Drosophila melanogaster: one gene and its partners. The protein of the gene in region 1 interacts with the protein of each later gene in a pairwise test. Each region holds a gene or a part of one and is shown in the gene's direction. Other genes may lie near its edges.

Region 1 (7,146 bases):
TGTAAATGCTTACCGCTCTAGCGTCAAGCCGATGACCTCGTACATATTGCGCTGGCTGAGGAATAACTTTCGATCGGCGGTGCAATTTTGCCGCCGCTTTGCTCGAATCGCGTCCAGCGTTTGCACCATTTCTTTTTCCCCGCACAGCTTTCGTAGGTGTAGAATCTTCTGGTGGTCATTAGTATAGCGCCAAGTCACATCTTGGATGTCGTCCCTAGAGTATGCAAGAATGTAGTCGATGTGACGTTTCCAGCCATGCTGATACATCAGCGGAGAATCTATAACGTTCTCGGAGGGGTCAACATGGAGCCAACGCATCTGGGCCTCGGAGTACACCTCGGTCCAGACGTGATCAAAATGCGAGTGGACAATACGGGCGTCGTAGTCGAGGGCGCGACAGAGGAATGTGAAGCAATTGGCATATTCTCCGCAACGGCCCTTACGGGAAACTAGGAGCTGGGAAATGTCGTTATAGCGGTAGAACTTGCTCTCCTGGCCGCAGCAAACGGTGACTTCCACCCTTATATCACCTTCCCGTTCAGTGCGGCGCAGCCTGCTCTCTTCACTCCCACACACGCGGCAAGGTATATTGTTTACCCACTGGAAGAACTGCGTGTTGAACCAGTTTACCAGCTCCACAAGCAGCAAGTCGCGAACACATGGCTCCTTCTCCTGGCGCTCACCCGACGCAATTTGATCTTGGATGTCTATCAGTTTCTCGCTTGCCATTTCGGTGAGCTCTTCCACAGGAATCAGAGTGCGGCCAGTAGCCAGCAGCAGGTTATCCTCGTACTGCATGACTGCATCGGAATAAAGCTCTAGCGACTGCAGAAAGTTATTATTGGTGCGCTGAAAACAAGCTTCCACATCAGAATACAGCAGAGGTCTATCTTGTTCGATGGCTGGCTTACCAATACACGGGGGAAGGCGATTCTATGGCGATATTCCACAGAAGGCTTGATGAACAAGGGCGTGGTGCTGGTGGTGCTTTGTTGAGGAGGACCTATTAAAATCCGAGACATGATGATTAGGATGTCAGTCTTGCCCCCAAAGCTTACTTTTTGACACTGTGCCGTTAAGCCAGGCAGTGCGTCTCTCGCTCAGCGCATCTCTGTACTTCTTCACCTGCTGCAGTGACACCTCTGTGGGCAAGGTGTAGGCGTTGGAACTGGGGGCGCGTACGAAGCCTATGGCTTCCAGTAACCTCTCACAGCCGGGCAAGGACAGCAGCTTTTCTTTAATAGCTTTGTTTTCCTGCCGTATGGTGCGGAACATGGAGTTCTCCGGCTGCGCCAAGATGTTCTCCAGCAGCACTAACAGAATGCGGACCGCTTCCAGGTAGGCTTCCTTTAACCCTCGCTCCTGCTGCTGCTGACCAGCAGAACGGGTCTTCGGTTCGATCTGGTGCACGCACTCCAAGTTTATGTCCACCATGTTGATGACCAGCTGCCACTATCAGATTGGTTTCGTCGTTAGTAGGGGTGGCCGGCGGATGACAATCATGCAGACACAAAGGGTTATGGTGTTGGAAAACGCGATTAGTTTAGCGAACTTCAAGCGATAACAAAAGAGGTGTTTTTTAGGTTTTTTTTTGTTGAATGAAGCCAGCCGGATTCCACTAGCGTACATGTTCTTTTCCTGTGGGGATGCACAACAAATTTATGCACGAAAAATAGAGCTTGGATCTCCTTTTTATAGACATTTTAAAAAAGGTAAGAAATCTCTAAATTTCAACAATTGCTTTAAATAGGAAATAAGTTACTTAGAAATATTAAGTTATCACGTGTTGAAATTATAAAAATTACTCAATAATCTTTTGCTTAAAAAAACGGATTAAAAATACACAAAGCATTCAATTACCATTTTTAGTTAGTAGCGATCGAAGAATGTTTTGATTTGGAACTCCCAATATTTATTAGGTCTTGGAAGTATATAAATTATATATTAAATACATAATGTAATAGAAAAATAAAAAAAAATTTTTAGGAATCCACTTAGGACTAAGGGTGTTCTAAAATGGACGGTTCATGTTTCAAATTAAGTTTACATTGTTGTTGCTCAAAGAGAAAGCTTATGAGAGCAAGGATCCTGGAAAATTGATAAAGTAATTATGCACAGCTCTCCGAAAATTCGCCTTACAGTAGGAACAGCTCAAAGGGACTTGAAAATACTGCCAGCTCCAGCACTCGCACCAAGCAAATTAGTGACATGAACCGATGTACAACAACATACCAATGTTAACTTGCTAAATGTGTTACACCATTTACAGATCGTTTTTCATGTGGCAAGATATTTCAATATTTTTTAACGCTATTTGTTATCTTTATGAATAACGCTTGCTACTTCTTAGTCTGAATAATATTCGGCTTATAAAGATTTCAGGGATTCTGTAATGGATACGTTCGAACTTATTTCATTAAATTAGAGATAAACAATTATGTTATTGTAAAAAATATCAATTGAAATCATGCGAAAAAAAAACTTATTCTCAGAGGAGAATGCTAAAGACAATGTATAATGGATATTAGATATCCAATTACTGGATATTCGCTTTATTCAGTTTTAGCAACCAATTCTGAAGCGTACATGTGGAATAAAGATTAAAAAAATTATATTCCTGCAAAATATTTAGATGAATACATTGCATATATTGGAAATCGAAAACAAGTTCATTTTAAAATTGTGGGCTTGCCAGTTTTTTGTGGCTTGTGGACGTTAGAGTGAAAGTGGCGTAGTTATACAATAAAACAAACTTGCCCGAAGTAGGCGTCACTAGAATTTGCATGATTAGTTTTAACATCCTACCAATATAGTTCCAGAGACTTTGATGTCTATGCTAACATTAGTACATCGCCAGGTCGCCTCGGCTAGAGATGTTGATCAAGAGCGAATTCCCTATTGGGAATGTTGTTTGTATCTGTTTCTGTCCAACATTAGAAAATATTCTCAGCTGCAAGGCACATACGTACGCAAGGTACATACGCAAATTATAAAAATAACCTAAGTATTTTATATATATATATTTGTTAAAATCCAACTAAATTCATGTCCTTTTAATATAAAAGTTATTTAAGGCTGATTTCATGTCACACAACACTTTTTGAAATATGTTCTGAAATTGCAACTTCCTGGAAAACTCTACATAGCTTAATGCAAAAGCTTTCACAGCTAGTTAATGAAATTAAAAACAAAAGGTTGAGATACCGGGCCACTTGGCAAAACGCTCTGTAAACGGTGTAATACATTCTGAAAGTTAGCGTCGAAATGATAGTGCTATACATCGGTTCATAACATGGATTTCCCTGTGGTGCAGGTACAGCATTTGGCGGTATTTTCAAAACCCTTTTGGTCGAATTTTGAGAACACTGCATAATTTTTAAATGCATTTTCAAGGATTCTTAGATCATTTCTAATTTGTTGATAACACGTCAGTATACCAATGAATAAAAAATTTTAAAAAAAGTCCGCTCTCCAGTCTTCACCGTTTCCAACTTATCGCACATTTATTGTTGGTGGAGTCACTTCGGAAGTAAAAAAGACCATAATTTTATGCGTATATGGTCACACTACTTTTCAACCACTTTAACTCGAAAAAGTAGGCGTCGGTCAATTCAATCTTAAAGCGTCTGTCATTGTGCTAAGTGTGTGCAGCGGATAACTAGAAACTACTCCTACATATTTCCATAAAAGGTAAGACTCCTGCCCAACACTTTTTTTTGTCTGTGCGGTCATTATTATTCCTTTCTGGAAGGGGTCGGTCCCGTCTGCGTTCTTTTTTACGTTAGCCGCTGTCCTGTCTCCTTGTTTTTTTAGTGTACACATCCAGATTTCTTTTCTCTTGCAGATCCAAATAAAATTTCTACAAAATGTGTGACGAAGAGGTTGCAGCTTTAGTGGTCGACAACGGATCCGGCATGTGCAAAGCCGGCTTTGCCGGTGATGACGCACCGCGTGCAGTTTTTCCTTCTATTGTCGGCCGTCCACGTCACCAGGGCGTAATGGTAGGAATGGGACAAAAGGACTCTTATGTCGGCGATGAGGCACAGAGCAAACGTGGTATCCTTACCCTGAAGTACCCCATTGAGCACGGTATCGTGACTAACTGGGACGACATGGAGAAGATCTGGCATCACACTTTCTACAACGAGCTTCGTGTGGCCCCGGAGGAGCACCCCGTCTTGCTTACTGAGGCTCCTTTGAACCCCAAGGCTAATCGCGAGAAGATGACTCAGATTATGTTTGAAACCTTCAACACTCCGGCCATGTATGTTGCCATCCAGGCGGTGCTTTCTCTCTACGCCTCCGGCCGTACCACAGGTATCGTGTTGGACTCCGGCGACGGTGTCTCCCATACTGTGCCCATTTATGAGGGCTACGCCCTGCCGCACGCCATCCTCCGTTTGGATCTAGCCGGTCGCGATTTAACCGACTACCTGATGAAGATTCTTACTGAGCGCGGTTACAGCTTCACCACCACCGCCGAGCGTGAAATTGTGCGCGACATCAAGGAGAAGCTGTGCTACGTGGCCTTGGACTTCGAGCAGGAGATGGCCACGGCCGCTTCAAGCTCGTCCCTGGAGAAGTCGTACGAGTTGCCCGATGGACAGGTCATCACCATCGGAAATGAGCGATTCCGTTGCCCCGAATCGCTGTTCCAGCCGTCGTTCCTCGGCATGGAGGCCTGTGGCATTCACGAGACCACCTACAACTCAATCATGAAGTGTGACGTCGACATCCGTAAGGATCTGTACGCCAACACTGTGCTGTCCGGCGGCACCACCATGTACCCGGGAATCGCTGACCGCATGCAAAAGGAAATCACGGCGTTGGCTCCGTCCACCATGAAGATTAAGATTGTTGCCCCGCCAGAACGCAAGTACTCTGTTTGGATCGGCGGCTCCATCCTGGCTTCGCTGTCTACTTTCCAGCAGATGTGGATCTCGAAGCAAGAGTACGACGAGTCGGGCCCCTCCATTGTTCACCGCAAGTGCTTCTAAGCAGTAGTCGGGCTGGGCGTGGTCGTTCCTCATCGAACACACCCATTGCAGACAAAGGATGGGAGTCAAAAGTATTGGGCATGAGTACATTAATACCGGGAGCAGGCGCACAACACTTCCGCTCCTTCAGAAGAATGCATTCCATTCACTTTTATACACAGTTGTACACGACGCATAAGCAAACCATATTGTGTTCTATTCGAAATTCAAGTTCATATGCACATAAGCATTTATAAAACTGATTCATGTTTGGCATTTACATTACTTCCATGCATTCCTACATATGTATTAAAAGCAAACTTACCATACCACTAAAATACTTGTAACCGCTTCTTAATAATAAAGCGACGAAAAGAACTGAAAATTCCTTTTGTATTATTCTATTATTTTTTCCACCAAAAAAGCTAGCATTTGGCTGGCATGAGTAAGAGGCAATCTGAGACCGTGATATTCCGATGGCTATGTGCTCATTCCACTGGCATGCAGTGGCGGAGGCGTCAGATAAAGCGCTAACCAATAAGGCATGCTTTGCTTTTGTGTTTAAGTCAGATGGGAGCAAGCATCGGTTTGCAGGAAGTGCCTTGATAAGCCAGTTTATGGCCTGCAGTTTCTGTCGAATCGGATATATGTACATTTGAGCATAGGGTGTGATTCAGTTTGGACTCGCTCCGCTTATCACCCGACCCCACCCAGTCTAAGCGGTATTTTTACGTTGATTGATTGCGAGTGAAGCAAGTGAAACGCCAAAAGCAGCTGCATCAGCGTTACCTTATAAGGAAATAGTGGAGGAATACCGCAATCGCACTCGCACTGGCCACTGCAAATCGAGACCAAAACAAAGCCATGTTGACTCACTCACGAATGTTCGGAGTAGTTTTCGTTGTCATCAATTGGCATTGTTTGCCCGATTTTGTTGATAGGTGGGGCCCGGCCCGCCCCATCCGATTATCACTTGGGTGTTGAAACGTAGAGAAATTCATTTGGGGGATCCCTAGCAAATCTGCTGGTGATCTGGACAAGCGCGTTGACCAAATTTAATGAACTGTAGCCAGAAAGTAGATTCGTAAGAAGAGCGCATGCGTCGATCGTCGATGTCCATATATGGAGGCCGTTATAGACTTCAGTCACTGCAACAAATGCCTAACTAACTTTATTGCTGTAAACAATATATTTTGGGTTTCTACGCTGGAAGCTGGCTTTAAATAAATGTATTTTCCAAATCCATCGATAGGTAGATTTGTTCAATACAATTTCAATACTTTAAAAATAGGAATATTTTCACATAACTTTTCGATTTCTGGCAGTTATCAACATTTTATGGCGTGTGTCATACATACTTGGTTAATTTGTATATTTTAGTAGTAAGGTCAGCAAACTAGAACTAATAAAATTATCAGAGCTTAATAAAATAAGGTAAGGAAAGAGAAGTTTGCCAATCCCCGCCTATGGTCTGAGTAAAAAACAAAATGATTTTGAATTGCAAAATAAAATTTTTAATACTTATGCGCATTTTATATTTCTTAAATTTGTGTATGCAAGGACTTGCGTTAAAAATAATGTGACGGGGAAATTTGCTGACTTTGTCTACTATTTTCACTGTTGTTTATAAGAATTTGAGTTTTTTAAATATGTTTCTGAGAAATCAACACTAAAACTGCTATCTTGGAATATTTCAACAAAAACTGAGTGACTTTAAAACAAGTCCTTGCCTTTTTTCAAGCCCTCCATAATAGATAAAAGAATGAGTGAACAAAGTTGAGTTTAATTTTAAAGAATTTTATATTTATAAATTATAAAGAAATATTTTCTTGGTTCTAAATGTACATGTTTTCGTATATGTATGTTTGTTTATGCATATTATGTTAAGGTTACAAATTACATTTAAATTCTAAATAAGTAATTATATGGATTTAGCTATTGGGCACTGCAAAGTATCCAGTAGCTAGCATATATTTAATGATTGGCGTTTGTGTTGCTTTTTCTATTTGTGATAAAGCATATAATGTCGTTGATAATGTTCAGTGAGAATAGAAGTAAGACACGTACGTAATTAATTAACTAAAAGTGAAAAATTTTTGTATATGTGTGTGCTGCAAATATCGTTCTCAGGTTGGCCTATCAACTAAAGAAAAATAGGGAAGTATGTTTT
Region 2 (9,902 bases), on another chromosome or scaffold:
CTCGAAGCGCTCGGTAAGTTCAACAACATCATGATGACCAACTCGGAGGTCGTGCTGGACACGCAGCGCAAGGTGGACTTCGGCACACTGAACGTGGTGCAGCGGGTTGGCAAGCTGCTGGCGGAGGAAATGGCCACGCTGAGCGGACTGCTGAAGGAGCGCTTCTCGTCGCTGGACGGAGCGGTGGTGAGCATCCAGCAGGAGGCGAACAAGAACATCAGCGGACTGCTGGAAACGGAGCTGAACCAGGTGTGGCACCGCATCGAGATCATGGCCGGCGAGATCAGCCAGAGCCGGCTGATGCTCGGAGATATCCAGTCCGCTTCCGATGGCTACAACAACAGCACTCTCATCACCATGATGGGTCTCGGCAGCCGCGTGGAGGAGACCAAGAAACACATGATCGACATGGACGAGAACCTCAACTATCTGCTGGGCAAGCTGTCGCTCATGTCCACCGAGTTCGCCAGCATCAAGAAGGGCCTGGCCGACTCCCTCGAGGATCTGCGCAACTCCTTCCACGGCCTCCACGAGCGGATGCCCACGGGTCCCGGTCCGCACAACATCGACAAGAACACGTATCTGACCGACGTCAATCTCCTGTCCAAGCGCCACGCTGAGCCCGGTCGGGAGTAGAGCGGCTGAGCGCCGGAGATGACACTTGAACGAAAAGCAATACAATACTTTTAACCATAGCGCTTAAGTCTGCCCACTTACATATACTCATCTAGTTGCGCCTTAAGCTTAAGCACAGCAAAACGTCACTCAATAAAGATCGAATATTATGTACAAGATACGAGCTGCTGCGTTGCACCGCCATTAGAAACGCGCGATCCTCTCCAGCAAAAGACACTTTCATGTGAACAATACACTTTTGCAGTTTACTCTTACGAACTAAAAGGAATTCCTGGCGATAATTTACATAATGTTAAGGTAACTAGTTAATATAAGGGTGTCGCTACCCACGCGAACGATGTGCCTACGTGCCCCACCGCTGCTCGCACCGCGAGTACTTGCACAGGATGCTGGCGAACGTCTCCACGTCGAAGTGGCGTCCGCTGGGATGCGTGTGGAACTCGGTGAAGCGCGCGTGCCAGGGAAGCAGGCCGTAGGTGCACGTCTGCCGGGCGAACACGATGCCCAGCTCCGGCTCCGGGGCCTCGAACCCGAGTCGCTTGCTCAGCATGTCGCTGATCTGCTCCGTCAGCGCTTCGCGCTTCTGCTTAAGTAGGCTCTGCACCAACTCCGTCTTACTGTCTTCGTACAACTCGCGGCAGACGTCGGCGATCAGGGCATGGCCGTCGGAGGCGCTGATTTGATGGAGCTGAAAGACGCCGAAGCCGAAAAGTCAATTAGAAACTGATAAGGCAACGACTAGTTCCGGGAATCGATTACGTTGCTATACATAGGTTTTAATGGATACAAAGGTAAAACTGGTTCTCAGCACGAAGAATTTTTTGTATCTCATGTGAATGATGAACTAAATTAAATCTCCAGCTCATTACTTCTTTTATTTAACAATTGAAACAAAAAGTGTAATACTTGTAAGACATTTTCCGACATCGTTCTAAAGTCCATTACTAATCACGGCTTATCAGACGCCGCCACTCACCTGCAGTTGAGGGGAATGTGAACCGTTCACATAACCATTTGTCTTTTGTCCGTTTTTGGGCTGGTTCTCCAGTTTGCTGGGACTGGCTACGGGTGGCCACTTTAAGCAGCTGCCCGTGTCCGCGTTGGTGGATCGACAGAGATCGGCCATGTCCACGTATCCCCTGCCTTTCGTCCGCCTGTCGTACAGGCTGACGTGTTTGATGCCCACGTCCAGGGCAAAGTCGAAGATCCTGCTGAGGAGCACCGCATCCACGCCGGCATCTACGGGGGAGATAACCAGGACCAGATGCTGCGGCGTCTTCGTCAACTGGGAGCGGCAGTCAGCGAGCACGCGCCGCTCGTGCGCCTCACGTGCCGCTTTGCTGCGCCAAAGGTCATATGACCGGACGGCCAGTGCATTCAGTCGCTCTCGGAGCCGCCACATCAGTTCGTAGCCGCCGACCAGGAGCAGCAGGATCCTGCCCAGCAGCAGGCACAGCACCTCGATCATGTTGCGCAGGTCAGGGGCGGTATCTCGTACAGCGGTTGTCTCTTCTGCCAGGAATCCGCTCCTGTTGCTTCTTCGGTTCCCCGTCACAGTGTACACAAGCGGACATAACCTGCAAACGGCTGGCGGACCTGGGATTAGGGCTTTCCAGAGGTGCCGGCTGCCTACCCACGCTCATCCAGGGTCACTTCGCTACCTGTTCAGTCACTTGAGACGCGGGTGCATCTTGTTATCCGAGCGTAATCAAGTTTTAAGCGATGCGCTTCGCAAGAATAATGAAAATACGTGTTCGTCAGTGTGACCATGCGCCGGATTCCGCAAAATATCGAGAATCTAGAGCAGTTTTATAATTAAGAACTAATTAAAATAACTAAATAAAAAATAAAACATTGATTATTTAATGAATATGTTAGACTAAGTGAAAAGGGAATAACATTTTATTGGAAAACATCTTTATTAGACATACAATGTGAACGATTTAACAAAATAATTTACAGGACAAGAAATAGCGTCAATATCTGAAGGTGAACTCTAGTAGAAATGTACCGTGTTCAATCAAAATATAGTTTATTTACGTGTATATCGAAAAGTCCTAAATGCATTGCAAATAATTTAAGAATTAGTTTATAAGCTTGGCTATTGCACTTCCATCATATTTTATACATTTAAACATCCGTTTTCTTAAGTCTAAAATTTGTTGTATCATATATTTTTAGTATTCTGCCACCCACATAAGGGTTAACTCGCTTGACTATTTCCACGAATGTACGCCTGGTCCCACCAAAGGCCACGCCAAGTTATTATTTTCGCCATTTCGCCGGTGTTCGCTACGCAGCTTCTCGTCAGTTCTAATTGGAATACAACTGCAGATCCTTGCAAATTCATCAGCAGCAAAAGAAGGTGAGTAACGCCTGATTGTTGCTAAAAACGTTCATTTAAACGGGGCTTTGCTATTATTCGCAAATTCTCTTCTCCCGTTCGCCGGCTGAAAGTGTCTGCGGAATTAACGGTTATTGGTGAGGGGTGGGTGGTGCTGTCACGAATTTGAGCGTGTGTGTGTGATGCAGGCTGTGGGTGTTTGTACACACACAACAACAACAACAGCGAAGAGAGCCAAAAAGACAAGAGACAGCTGTGTGATGGCTATTTTTGTGTGATTCATGTTGCTTGTAAAATTAAATCTACATGGTGTATTTTTAACGATGATTTCATATCCGATTCCATGGCATAAAGACACAACTAATTCATTGCCAGCAAGTGTATGCAAATTAACCCTTAGCAGCTCCCATTGCGATTGTTAACCCCCGATAAAAAAAAGTAACTACTCAGCTGTTGTGGCCATTTTTTGTTTTTGTTTCGCTGACTCACAGACACATAGTTGATATGCATATGTATGTATGCATGTATGTAGTTTACGCAAGAGCAAACACGTTTGCTTGTATTCGTGCGCGAATGAGTCAAAAAGTTGGCCAAAACGCTTTTATCAGCGAATCGCGATTGAAAATCGGCAGATATTACCACTCACTCGATTTCGGTGGAAGAAAATAACACCTCGCCTTATAAGGTGGGCGATTTTTCTTCTACCATTACGAACACCCCCCACCCCTGGTAATTCGAGCTCACTCACACTCTCGCAGCGGGAATAACGGTTCCTCAGCTGCAGACATTTAATCTTGGTTTCTAGTTTTTCTTCCCCATTTCTTCTTTGCTTTCTGCACGCAACAAACGCATCTGCCGCAGAAAACGCATCAAGACTGCAAGGAGAACTAGTATCGCCAGGCGAAAGTTGAATCTCGGCTTACTTGTCCTCGGCGGCTTAGCCCCTCCCTCCAATCCAACGGCTACTGATGCATTTCCCACTCTAATTGCCAGCCATTTGTTTAAAGCTACTTAAAAACAAAAACAACGTTGCCGGTGCAATAAACCCATTGCACTAAGGCCAAAACAAAAACTGGCAAGCAAACGATATGGGAGTTTCAGTTACGTCGACGTTTTTATACTCTTCTGCGGCAGATTACTTCACAAAAAGCTGAACATTTTAAAACTGTTTTTATAGCCGGCTAAGATATGATCATTGCATCTCTCTACTCTCTATGGCTTACAAACGTTATGGTAATGCTCAAAATGGAATCATAGTTTCATTACCGATCATTCCTGGAAACTTTCCAAATAGTAAAGATAACTCGGTGTTGTCACAACTAATTGATAGGCGAACCCTGCCTTACAGGGCTGATAAAACTATGGGATCGCCGTGGTTTTCCCTCACTTAAGTCGCGCCACCCGTGGCGAGAAGGGTATCACGAAATCACAGTGGTGTCTGCGCAACTCTCTCGGAGAGTTTTCCATTTTCCGCCTGGACCGTAAGCTTTCTCTGCTGCAAAAGTGCAAGACATCGCCGGAGCTTGCACAAAATCCTGCATGTCAGGCCAAAAGCGGTTATTAATGAAACACATTTCATTGCCAGTCGGTGGCTGGCCCCAAATGGTCAAAAGCAGCGCGGAGTAGCCCAACAAGGCGGCGAAACTCAGCAGTTAACAGCGCGGAGCTCTCCTAACAGAGTCCTGTTGAGACCTTCGAGTTCGAGTTCGAAATCGAATCGAATCCCCGAGTGCGTGGGCGTGCGCTTCGTTTAGGGTGTGTTCTGTTCTCCGTGTGTAATCGCATTTGTGTGCCATTTGGTTCTGTGCTTGGTCGGCAGTCACTTGACCCAGTTGAAGGCGCGGACAACTCGGAGGACCTTATTAATGTGCCACTAAATTTGGGCCATACACTGAATATATGTACACAGTGAGCAAGGAGTGGCCACGTTCGTTGGAAACCCGTTGAGTGTCTTATATGGCTGCTGCTGTTACTGCTTCTACTGATTCGATTTGGTTTGGTGTGCCGTCAGTGTTGTGACCGCCGCTTGAGCTTCACGGGCATCCGCAGTCGAGCCACGGAACTTACATAATGTGCTTGATTCGTACCTAGAGTGTTGAGCACCGGAAAAGCCCAGCCACACGCCTGCAAAATGTTCTCCTGCTGCCGATCGAACCCCAAGGCGGGCAAGAAGGAGAAGGAAAAGCGGAACGCAGAGGAGGAGAACGGCGGACAGGTCACCGAAAAGGAGGAACCCCAGCTGAACGGCAAGCCAGGAACTCCGAAGGAGGAGCCAGAGCCTGTGAAACCAGAAAAGGAGCTCTTGGAAGCGCATAATCCCGAGGATGTGCCCACAAGCACCCAGCCAAACACTGGTACTGACGCAACGCTAAGTATTTACCCACCACCCCATCTATTCGCGTTCTCCGGCCTTCGAGCTCAACAGCTGTCTCGGCTTTTGTCTGCTCTCCGGAACGAAGGCCCCTATCCGGCCGGCTCTCACTCACTGCAATGCCACTGCAGCTGACCACCACTTCTGATCTTTCCTTTCATTTCAATCCGGGCACTTCAAGCTGCCTTGAGTGTCCTTTTCTATTTACTTATGAGTTGTCTTCACTGTGCTTTCTCTTCGGTTTATTTCTGTGAATTTTATACATATGAATATCAAGGAATTGCGCCGATTCTCAGTTGATTAATGAGGAATAGCTAATGACATTGCATACACACTTTTTGTTGAGCACTTAGATCGTGCTCATCCATCAAAGTGAACGTATAGTATATAGTAGTGACGAATATAGAAACTAAAATGAAGGTCAATAATTTAGACAGAAAATTCAAGATTCTATAGATTCTATAATAATAAGGTGAGCAGTAAAAACTAACTACTCAATCTGCCAGTGACCATGGTAAATGCTTTTAAATGCGATAAATAAACATAATGAAGACAGGAAGCGAGGTGAGCAGAGAGTGAAGTGAAGTAATCAACTTAAGTATCGGCGCTTTCCTTGATGATCGTCTTGGTAATTCGTCGCTTCATGTAGAGTAATCTTAAGCAACACTTCCACAGCCCAACCAACTCAGGCTGAAGCGGCTAGCAAATCATCACCAGCAAATCCAGCACTAGCACCCAAAGAACCGGAGCCACTGGCCCGCTCAACGCACTCTTCCACATCCACGGCACCACCTGCTTCGATGACCAGCGGCGACGCGGAGGAGGCGGACGAAGTGGTGGTGGTGGCGACGGTCACGCCGACCACACCGCCTCCTCAGCCGCCGCCCACCAAGAGCTGCCTGTCCAGGCACAACTCAACGCATCAGTCGATCAAGAAGAAGGTGAATATCAGCAACCGGGCGGAGATCATCGAGCCGGATCCACTGCCACTGCTCCTGCTGGCCAGCCAGAATCAGGGCTCCTTGCTGGACGACGACGAGGTGTTCTCCGACTCACTGCCGCCACCCAAGCGGGAGAGCATGTGTGCACCCTACATCGAGGGGGATGTCGTCTCGGAAACACTCTTCTTTGCCCACGGATTACCCTCGTGGTTCGACGACGAGCGCCTGAACGACATGTATGCTTACCCAAGATCCTGTTTTGGTTTCACGCCCAAAATATCCATATAGTTAAGCTGAAACCAGAACAGGTCGACCCCTGCATTCCCAGCCCCGCTTTGAATTGCCAGTACATCGTCTCCTCTGTCCTCGTTCCATGTCCAGCGGCTGCATCGAGCCCCCGGTCACGCCGGTGGGACGCGACGAGCTGGAGCTGAAGCGCCAGCGTCTCTACACGGAGCTCCTGCGGGCCGCCCATGCGGCTGTGGAGCATAGCGTGGCCGTGCGGGGTATGCGAGCTTCGATAGAGTCCGATTCTTTTGCTTTTTTTTTTCGATCTCAGCAGTTATTTAAGCGGATGCTTGACTTTCTGTGTTCTTTATGTGTTCGTTTTCGCTGTGAAGAAGTTTTGAGAGTCTAGCGATTCACGTAACTTCCTGATGGCCAATAAGTTCGCAAGTCAAGTGCTTCCGTTTAAAGGTTCAACTTAGTTCTTCTCTCTTATGATTTTTCGTTGTCTTGTGCCGTTTTTGCATGTGGATTATTACTTTCACTCGTTGGGATTAGCTCTTTTTGCATATTGAACTTTATAAGTATTAAGCGCACCAGTTCATCATCATACACAAGCTCGTGATGAGGTATTCCTCTCGAGACGCCTTAGTTTATATCGCCTTTTTTGTCAGGTATTGTGAGTGCACGATTCACTGGGGTTTATCACGCTGAAGCATCATCTCACTCAAGTTATTTTCTTTATAAAACTCAGTGTTATTTGAATAATTCGAGATAATTGCCAAAACGAACTAAACATTTGCCGTTCTCCTCCGCGTCATTTTGGTTCAGATAACGAGCCGGAAGCCAAGCCCTCGGCCGCCGTCGACCACTTGGAGAGCATTTGCGAGCGACTGGAGACCCTCGTCGACCGATTGGAACGGACTCTAACAGCGCCACAGCCGATAGAACTGCCCACGCCCACACTCCCGCCTCCGCCAGCCGAAGAAGAAGAAGCTCTTCCAGTTTTTGAAAAAGCAGAGACACCACCTCCACCTCCCTCGCCGCCCAGCAGCAACATGAGTGTCGCCGGATTCGAGGACATTGTGGCGGGTCCGCTGAGCCAATACCTAACTCTCTCCGCCAAAATTGGCGGCGATGTGGCGCAGCATGCGGAGCTCGTGAAGAGCGCCTTTGGGTGAGTCAGTCTGGATGAGTCATCTATGGTAAAAGTGTAATAATGCCATCGTTCAATTCCGCAACAGCTCCCAACTGCAGTACGTGACGCTGGCCACCCAGATCGCCCAGCCGGCGCAGCCCAAGCAGGCGGAGCTTCTGAAGCCGACCTCGACGCAGATCAGCGCCATCCAGGACTTCCGCGAGAAGCACCGCTCCTCGCCCTTCTTCAACCACCTGTCGGCCATCAGCGAAAGCATTCCCGCCTTGGGCTGGGTGTGCGTGGAGAAGACCCCGGGTCCCTATGTCAAGGAGATGAACGACGCCGGCCAGTTCTACACGAACCGCGTGCTCAAGGAGTGGAAGGAGAAGGATGTTACGCATGTGGAGTGGGCCCGCGCCTGGGTGCAGACGCTCACCGAACTGCAGGCCTACATCCGGCAGTACCACACCACGGGCTTGGTGTGGTCCGGCAAGGGAGCGGCCCCCGCCGGAGGTGCCCCGCCACCACCGCCACCCGGTGGTCTGCCCCCACCGCCGCCCATGCTGGATCTGAGTGCCCTCAAGCTGGATAGCGCCGGAGATGATCGCAGCGCCCTCTTCGCCCAGATCAACCAGGGTGCCGACATCACCAAGGGTGAGCAGCAACTGCAAAAATGGTTAAGTGCTCCTATAGTAAGAAAATGTATCTTTTGATAAACCCGCAGGCTTGAAGAAGGTCACTGGCGACATGCAGACCCATAAAAATCCATCTCTACGCACTGGACCGGCTCCGTTCAAATCGCCAGCCCAGTCGGGCGGCAGCAAGGCCGTTGCTGCTCCATCAGCTGCGCAAGCCAAGGCGCCCGTTTTCGAGCGCGACGGAAAGAAGTGGATCATCGAGTACCAGAAGAACAACACCGGGCTGTTGGTGGAGAACGCCGAGATGAACAACGTGGTGTATGTGTTCAAGTGTGAGGGATCCACTCTGACCGTCAAGGGCAAGGTGAACAACATCGTCTTCGACTCCTGCAAGAAGTGCTCCCTGCTGTTCGATTCCGTGGTGGCCTCCGTGGAGTTCGTCAACTGCCAGAGCGTGCAGATGCAGGTGCTCGGCTCGGTGCCGACGGTATCGATCGACAAGACCGACGGCTGCCAGATGTATCTGTCCAAGGACTCGCTGGGCGTGGAGATCGTCAACTCCAAGTCCTCGGAGATGAACATCCTGTTGCCCGACGACAGCGGCGATTATGTGAGTTCAAAAATTTGTCTCTTGTCTTCAGTCATTTATTTATTTTTTTTGTGATTTCCAGACCGAGTTGGCTTTACCGGAGCAGTATAAGACCACGATTGCCGGCAAGACCCTGAAGACTGTGTGCGTGGACAGCCTCGGCTAAGGCGGTTCTCCTCCTCGGGGATCCTGTTCGTTGCTTTTCCAACTGTCGTCAGCAGCAATCATAATTGTATTTAATCTAAGTGCAAAGTTTTCGTAATTCAAAGATTTTTAGATCAAACATTTCGTATTGATGATGTTGCCAAACATTGCTGTCCTGGCTCGTGGAAAGTATTTATATAATTTATTTCGATGGAAAAGCGATGGCCACAAACCGAACCCAATGTATTTATATCGAGAGTGTGTTGCAATGAGAAACTGAGCATGAAATCCGAACTTTTGAGCAGACTCTTTACTCGATCATCAGATGTAACTCCTTTTTATATTCTATTTAATAAAATTTAAACTTTTTTATCAGATTATTGTGGGAGTATCACAATTTCTGGGGGTGTTTTTCCTTACTTTGTAATCGTTTATTATTGCATTAAATCTAAAACTTCACTTTCGTCCGTTCGTACTTTTATTCTCTATTTAAACAAGGTGCTAGCATTTTTTATCAGATAAAAAAATGAGAACTTGATTTATTGCTACGTACATTTACAATTTCTTTAATGAAGCCGAGCTCAGAATGCAGGGGTCAAGGGTTGGATTGGAGGGGAATGGCTGGTGGCTAATACTAGGACCCTAGATCTTCTTGTACTCGATGCGCTCCACTTTGACCTCGTCGCCGATCAGTTGGTACACGTACGTGACCACCGTGGTGCTCTGAATGTCCATCAGCACGAACGAAGGCACCACATTGGTGTCCAGTGGGTTGAAGGCACCCGTGGCCGATCCCGGATTGATGTAGAATTTGTTGCCGTGCTCGTAGGCCTCGAACTTGTACGTGTGCCCCGTGATCAGGATGTCCACGTCCAG
Region 3 (6,342 bases), on another chromosome or scaffold:
GAAATACAAATGTAATTGCTTGCAGTTAATTGACCCACATACGATTTCTAGGTAGGTAAAAGATTTTAAGAGATCAGGTGGAAATATTGTAATAGATACCCACATTAAATTTGCAGACATGGGGAAACGCCTCCCTAGTTCTCTCTAACCAATACTTCTAGATAATCCAATTTTGTGTTCACAGCGTGCGACCACTTAAATTGGAACATGAACTCTAACCCTAATTGTCCACGCCTACTTCTAAAAACTAAAACTAAACCATTCTGTAGATAGTACGTAGTAGTCAAAACAAAGAGTTTAACTTTTATATGTATAAACCTGTTTCACGCATGCAAATAATATAAGTTACTGTGTCAGCGACAAAAGGCAACAGGTGAAATTGTCGCCCCAAGTCCATGCTTTTAAATCCCGATCTCTACATCTGTTTTTGTTGCAGCCAAGTCAATGTCAAGTGTTGCTTCGGCTGACTTACTACAAAAGTTAATTGCACTGCACGCACATGCCAAAAGGTAAAAAGAGTCGCGAGCCTCGGCGACAGGCTTCCAAAACCCTGTATATCCACATCACCAGACCTCAGGACCTCAACTTACGACTCTGGCTACGAGGCGCGTGTGTGCAATATCAGGTTTCCGCATCGACTTGCATAGTGATTCGAGGATGTGCGAAAATATGATTTAAATTAAGGGATCATCAGTTTGCAACAGACTATTTGTATACCTTCCTTTTAGAATATATATATATTTTTTATAGAAATATGTAATACTAGTTAAGTCTTCTAAAGGAAATACATTTTTACACGTTAAGATCTTGAGAAGTTCTTTTAATAATAATTATTGTCTGCTATTGAATTTAAATATTTACATTTGGGTTTTAAAAATGTGAATAGTTCAGACAATTGCATTCTGGTTGGATGATACGGCATTGAAATTATTTGTATTTTTTGCCACAGTGCGGAGCAATTGCTACTGTAGTTGTCATTAGTTCTCCGCACTTGCTGTTGTAATTGTGACAGGAGCAACGAGCACGGATTGCTAAAGGGTCGATCTCCAGTTGAAGGTGCACTTGGTTTTCTGTATTCCCGTGGGGAAAGGGGGTTTTGGCATAACTGTCGGCTGGCAGGCTTTCTGCGGTCGTGAGTGCCAGAAGCTGATTTCAGCGCGGCTACCGATAAGCAACCGCTTCCAGGTTTGACAGACGCGTTGATTGGTTTTGTTGGCTGGTGCGCAATATGCGAGACGCTCTTGATTCCATAAGACATGTAAATTACTAAGAGCTCTACAGGAAAACACAATAACTGGTCAACTCTTTTTTTATAATTTGTTTACCTGTTACTCTTAAATTAAAATAATATATATTCGTTTTAAAAATGTAATTTTTCGAAGAAAACATTGTGCCGAAACAGTTACCCAGCATGACTAAGCTCTAAATTCTGTCTTGATAAATGTCTAAAGATAGTTAGAAAGAATAATAAAATATTAATAAATCAATAACTACAAATTATCACATTAAAATGTGCTTTATTAACAATGTATCGGAATAAAAAACGTATTTTCTTTCTCACAGTGTTTCGCTGCTCTCGATGTTCGAGGCCAAAACCGTGGACCATTCATAAATTTTAAGCCAACTCATAAATACGGCAGCAAAGGCTATCAAGGTGTTGGTCTTACAATATCTCGCCGTGATGATGCCAGAAACTTCTTCCTTTCTGATTTAATGCAACGCCAAAACAAATTGTTATATTGGAGCCGCTTGCCTCCAGCAATTAATCAAAGCTCTCGCACTACAATTAATCAAAAATCGCCATCTTTCTTCGTTGAATTTCAAAAGGAGCTTGGCTTTTGCTCCTGGCCATAAATATTATTGCCAGTGGTGATATAAGAAATCGACCAAATAGAATTGGCGGCGTTAAAACGCTCACCTTAGATGTGACATCGTTTCGTTGACATATTCGCGTTGCTCTCATAAATCAGATATTTATATGGAGTGGGAAGTTGGGGGACTCAAAACCAAAACCATGGGCGGCTTTCGTCCTTTCATCGTCCGGAGATCGGTAATCTCTGGATGGCAATTTGATGGCCATGAACAGTTGACAGTTGACTTTTTATTTATTCAGCAGCAACATTTAATTCAATGGCACCTAGGCGTAGGCTCTACAGTTCTAAGCTCCCAATTTTGAAGACCCTAATAAACATGAGTACATACTTTGTACATACTTTTCATTTATCGGCTAGAATACCTGTACGATCAACATTGGTACTGAAATGTACGGAAGCTGTCCTGTAATCGAGGCCTTACTGTGTCGCAAGCATGCCGCTTTAAGAAGTGTGGAATAAATGAAACAACGTCAAGTAATCGGCAGACCGAGTCAATATTAATGACGACTTCATCTTTATTCGGTTGATACGCCATATATTCAGATCTCAGTTCTTCCCCCCTTAAGTTTATCCCGTCACGATTTTTCGGTTTTCTGTCGCAGGGTCTTAGTAACATTTATTGTACTATTTAGTCGTTATCAAGCAGAAAAGCTCAAGAAGAGCACTTGTGGCGCTAAGCGATATTCAAAGCAAAAAATAATAATAAAATTGCAAATTCATAAACCTGGTTGACACTGAATACCTTGTCTCAATGCTTCGCGGCAAATTTATATTACATCAACACGGATTTTGCAAGGTCGACCGGATATGTTTGATTTTATTAGCCTCTGGACATCTGGTATGTCTGTGCTTAGATGCCCTGTGATGTCCTTTTCACATGTAATGCTATGCAATCCCCCGGGGCTACAGCAACGAAGTGTTAAACGAGGCTCAGTGTGAGTTAGTGCCAATACAAATCTATTTCGGCACGGTTTCCTAGCGTGCAACCAGAATTCTGACAATGGTTTTAAGAAATAATGGGGACCTCCTAAATGCTTTCAAAATGCTTTCGGCTGAGAGGAACAACAACTGATACGTTGGGCATAAAGGCCCCGGGGCATTAGAAGTGTTAATAGAAAAGTGCCTCCGGCTGATCAGGTTTCGTTGCAGGACCGAATGGATCGCCGCCTGAGGTGTTGATGAGCTGGCCTTGAAAATTCCTACGACTTTGGATTCGAGCGACAATGGTCTAGTGTTTAAGATAATGTCCGAATGATCCAGGGATCGGAAGGTCATCAGTACATAAAATAAATTAAATTAAATGTATTAACATAAAATTAAAGATTTTTTAAAAGTCTAAAATACCTAGCCTTGTTAATTAAAGATTATTTTTTCGTAAACACTTTTGGTAGTGTATAAATTGTAAATGTCCCCATTTTTATAATTGTAATGACAGTCTATTCCACTAATTTTGTTGTATTTTGTTAGTTATACAAATTGGATGGCCACTTTCAATAGGAGATACAGCTTTTTACTTCGGAGGTGTTTTTACTTGGCTCTGATGTCTGGACCTTGTTGCCTTTTTAAACCGGTTGGCAGCCGGCACGCGACAGGGCCAGGTTTTCGTTTGGGGACGACAGGCAGCTGAAAATGAGCAAAAACACTCAGAAACTCTTCCCACTCGACAACGGGAACACTCAGGTCACCAACAGCTGCGTTTTACAGAGAGAACGAGAGATAATATTACTACCTCTCTATTAAAATCAGAGAAAACACTCATCTCAAGAGACGATCCTTCAGTGATGATGCTGTTGCACCTTTTCCAGGGGCAGGTAGGTAGTCACGCAGGTGGGATCCCTAGGCCCTGATACCTATAAATAGCCTGAACGGAACGGGGAAGGGCATCAGAACAGAGCCAGCGCTGAAGCAAGGAGCATCGTCACACAATAACGTTATACTATCTCTTAAAATGGCTTTGGGCAGCGAAAATCACTCTGTTTTCAACGACGACGAGGAGTCATCTTCGGCCTTTAATGGACCCTCTGTTATCCGGAGAAATGCCCGGGAACGCAACCGCGTAAAGCAGGTCAACAATGGCTTCAGCCAACTACGACAACATATCCCTGCGGCCGTAATAGCCGATTTAAGCAATGGTCGCCGGGGAATTGGTCCCGGCGCCAATAAAAAACTGAGCAAAGTTAGCACACTGAAAATGGCAGTAGAGTACATACGGCGCTTGCAGAAAGTTCTTCATGAAAACGACCAGCAGAAACAGAAACAGTTGCATTTGCAGCAGCAACATTTGCACTTTCAGCAGCAGCAACAGCATCAACACTTATACGCCTGGCACCAAGAGTTGCAGTTGCAATCTCCAACTGGCAGCACAAGTTCCTGCAACAGCATTAGCTCTTATTGCAAGCCAGCAACATCGACGATTCCGGGAGCAACACCTCCTAACAATTTTCATACCAAGTTGGAAGCCAGTTTTGAAGACTACCGTAACAATTCCTGCAGTTCTGGTACTGAAGATGAGGACATCCTCGACTATATATCACTCTGGCAGGACGACCTGTAAAAAAACAGATCAAATCTTCAGCTATTGCTAGTCGCACCCAACCATAACACACATCAAACCATTGATTGGCCAACAAGTATTACCTCAGCCACAAAGTATTTATATTCCCTAGAACTACCTTTTTGCCTTATAAATTAGTATTTAAGGTTTTATATAGTTTCTAAGGATAGTTTCTAATGGAAGACAATTTATATTTAAGTTTTTTTTTATAGCATACATTGAGGACATTAAACTGATATATATAAAATTTTAAATGAGTTTTTATTGTAAACAAAATTAAACGGTAATTAAAGTGAAACAAATTTATGTACAAAAGGAGTAAAATTCAGAAAAGTTTTAATGAACAAATGCTTTATGAATATGGGCGTAGCAATGTTTTGATACAAACTTGATCCTGTCCTGTATACCACAGGACACGCTTCCTTTTACCTGGTACATTCCTTTAAACGATCCTAGTATACGCTTTATTCGGGGTAAGCCCGAAAAAAGTATTCGAAACTGTAACCGTTAAGTATTTACAGATCACTAGCCAATGAAGATAAATTACAATAACATTTTGTAAACACTTTTGATCGAAAACGCCGATTTGCATAAATAAAGTTGGATTGAGTAGGGTGAAAAAGGCAAAATATTTACCTGCTGCATTTTTGCATATGAACCGGTCAAGGTAATAAGATCCTGAGAATTCACAATTCCGGAGAGATCGATCGATCGATCGATGAATGAACTAATTTTGAGTTATTCCCGCAATGCAGCCGAAACAAGCGAAAAAACAACGGTCGGCAATTGTTCAGATCGCCCCCGACAACGTTCAGAAAAATGAAAATAAGATCTGCTCAGGCATTCTGCACCGGAAGCCGCCGCGATGAAGCTGCTGCAAAAAAAACTCACGCAAGATACATATACTCTAAAAACAAAAGAAACATGGTTCATGGGTCTTTTCGGCAAATTCTTCACCATATTAGATCACTACATCACACACCAATCTATTCATTAGCAACAATAAAACACTAATAGAAATTGATAATTTGTATACCTAGTTCTTGTCTATTAATCATAAATATTATACTTTTACATGAACCTGAGTCGTGGAAGGTATACTTTTTAATGAACGTAAGCCGTGGCATATGTATCGAATTATTATTTCCGGCCTTTTCTTGTTTTTGCATTGCACATATATATATTAAAAGAATTGAAAAGCTGAAACCCAAAAACGTAAGCTACACCTAAGTGTCTCGGCTATCAGTTACCCGTTAACATATCCATTATTAATGTAATATTCCTTATATACTTATGCTACATGTACATATGTATATATTTTGTATACATCATTAAGTGCAGGGAGGTAATATATATGATATTTTTATATATATACAGGAAATTCATTTATTAGCGTGGCTTTGGGCCTTCGAACTGATAATTTTAACTTATTTTATGCAATATACACTTAAGAGTCGGAAAAGCTTCCGTCTACCTGTTGCATTATTCTCCACAAATATTGCATACCCTTGAGCCACGGGTATAAAAAGGGTAAAGGCTGTAGGGGCTCTCTTCCCTCCATTGGCGGTCTCAATGGGCGACATACGAACGACACAATGTCTTTGCGACAGCAAACGGTGCAAAATCGAACGCTTTTTGTGTGAAGTTAATAATACGTTTGACATGGCTCCGAAAGGGCGATCGATCCCAGAAATATATGCAGAAATATGTAGCAGATTGCTCCAGATCGTCCCGGGGTCTTTTTAAAAGACCCTTTGTGGTTTTAGCCACGTATATGTACCCTGAATTCAGCTTGAATGGGTATATAGCATATTTTCTGTAATAGGTAACCTTAAAAGGCTGGAAAATAAATTTATTATTATCGTTTTGAGAAAAAAAAAAAAAAAACAGTTTTTATAGTACATTTATAATTGC

Evidence for each region.
Region 2: the proteins of Act42A (region 1) and capt interact in a two-hybrid assay, tested with the Drosophila melanogaster proteins (2 studies listed by BioGRID).
Region 3: the proteins of Act42A (region 1) and ac interact in a two-hybrid assay, tested with the Drosophila melanogaster proteins (one study listed by BioGRID).

What each region holds. Positions count from the first base shown.
Region 1 is NT_033778.4:6,012,121-6,019,266, reverse strand, and holds Act42A (actin 42A), read left to right. Parts: upstream 1-3,577; 5' UTR 3,578-3,690; intron 3,691-3,844; 5' UTR 3,845-3,866; coding exon 3,867-4,997; 3' UTR 4,998-5,357; downstream 5,358-7,146. Other genes in the region: Pngl (PNGase-like), read right to left, coding at 14-849, 912-1,003, 1,059-1,434. UniProt on the Drosophila melanogaster protein: Actins are highly conserved proteins that are involved in various types of cell motility and are ubiquitously expressed in all eukaryotic cells.
Region 2 is NT_033779.5:1,151,178-1,161,079, reverse strand, and holds capt (capulet), read left to right. Parts: upstream 1-4,768; 5' UTR 4,769-5,111; coding exon 5,112-5,334; intron 5,335-6,026; coding exon 6,027-6,528; intron 6,529-6,673; coding exon 6,674-6,798; intron 6,799-7,348; coding exon 7,349-7,694; intron 7,695-7,761; coding exon 7,762-8,309; intron 8,310-8,379; coding exon 8,380-8,903; intron 8,904-8,964; coding exon 8,965-9,048; 3' UTR 9,049-9,402; downstream 9,403-9,902. Other genes in the region: CG5080 (uncharacterized protein), read left to right, coding at 1-636; Tango14 (transport and golgi organization 14), read right to left, coding at 980-1,324, 1,613-2,104; Vps29 (vacuolar protein sorting 29), read right to left, coding at 9,669-9,902.
Region 3 is NC_004354.4:366,272-372,613, forward strand, and holds ac (achaete), read left to right. Parts: upstream 1-3,759; 5' UTR 3,760-3,822; coding exon 3,823-4,428; 3' UTR 4,429-4,676; downstream 4,677-6,342. UniProt on the Drosophila melanogaster protein: AS-C proteins are involved in the determination of the neuronal precursors in the peripheral nervous system and the central nervous system.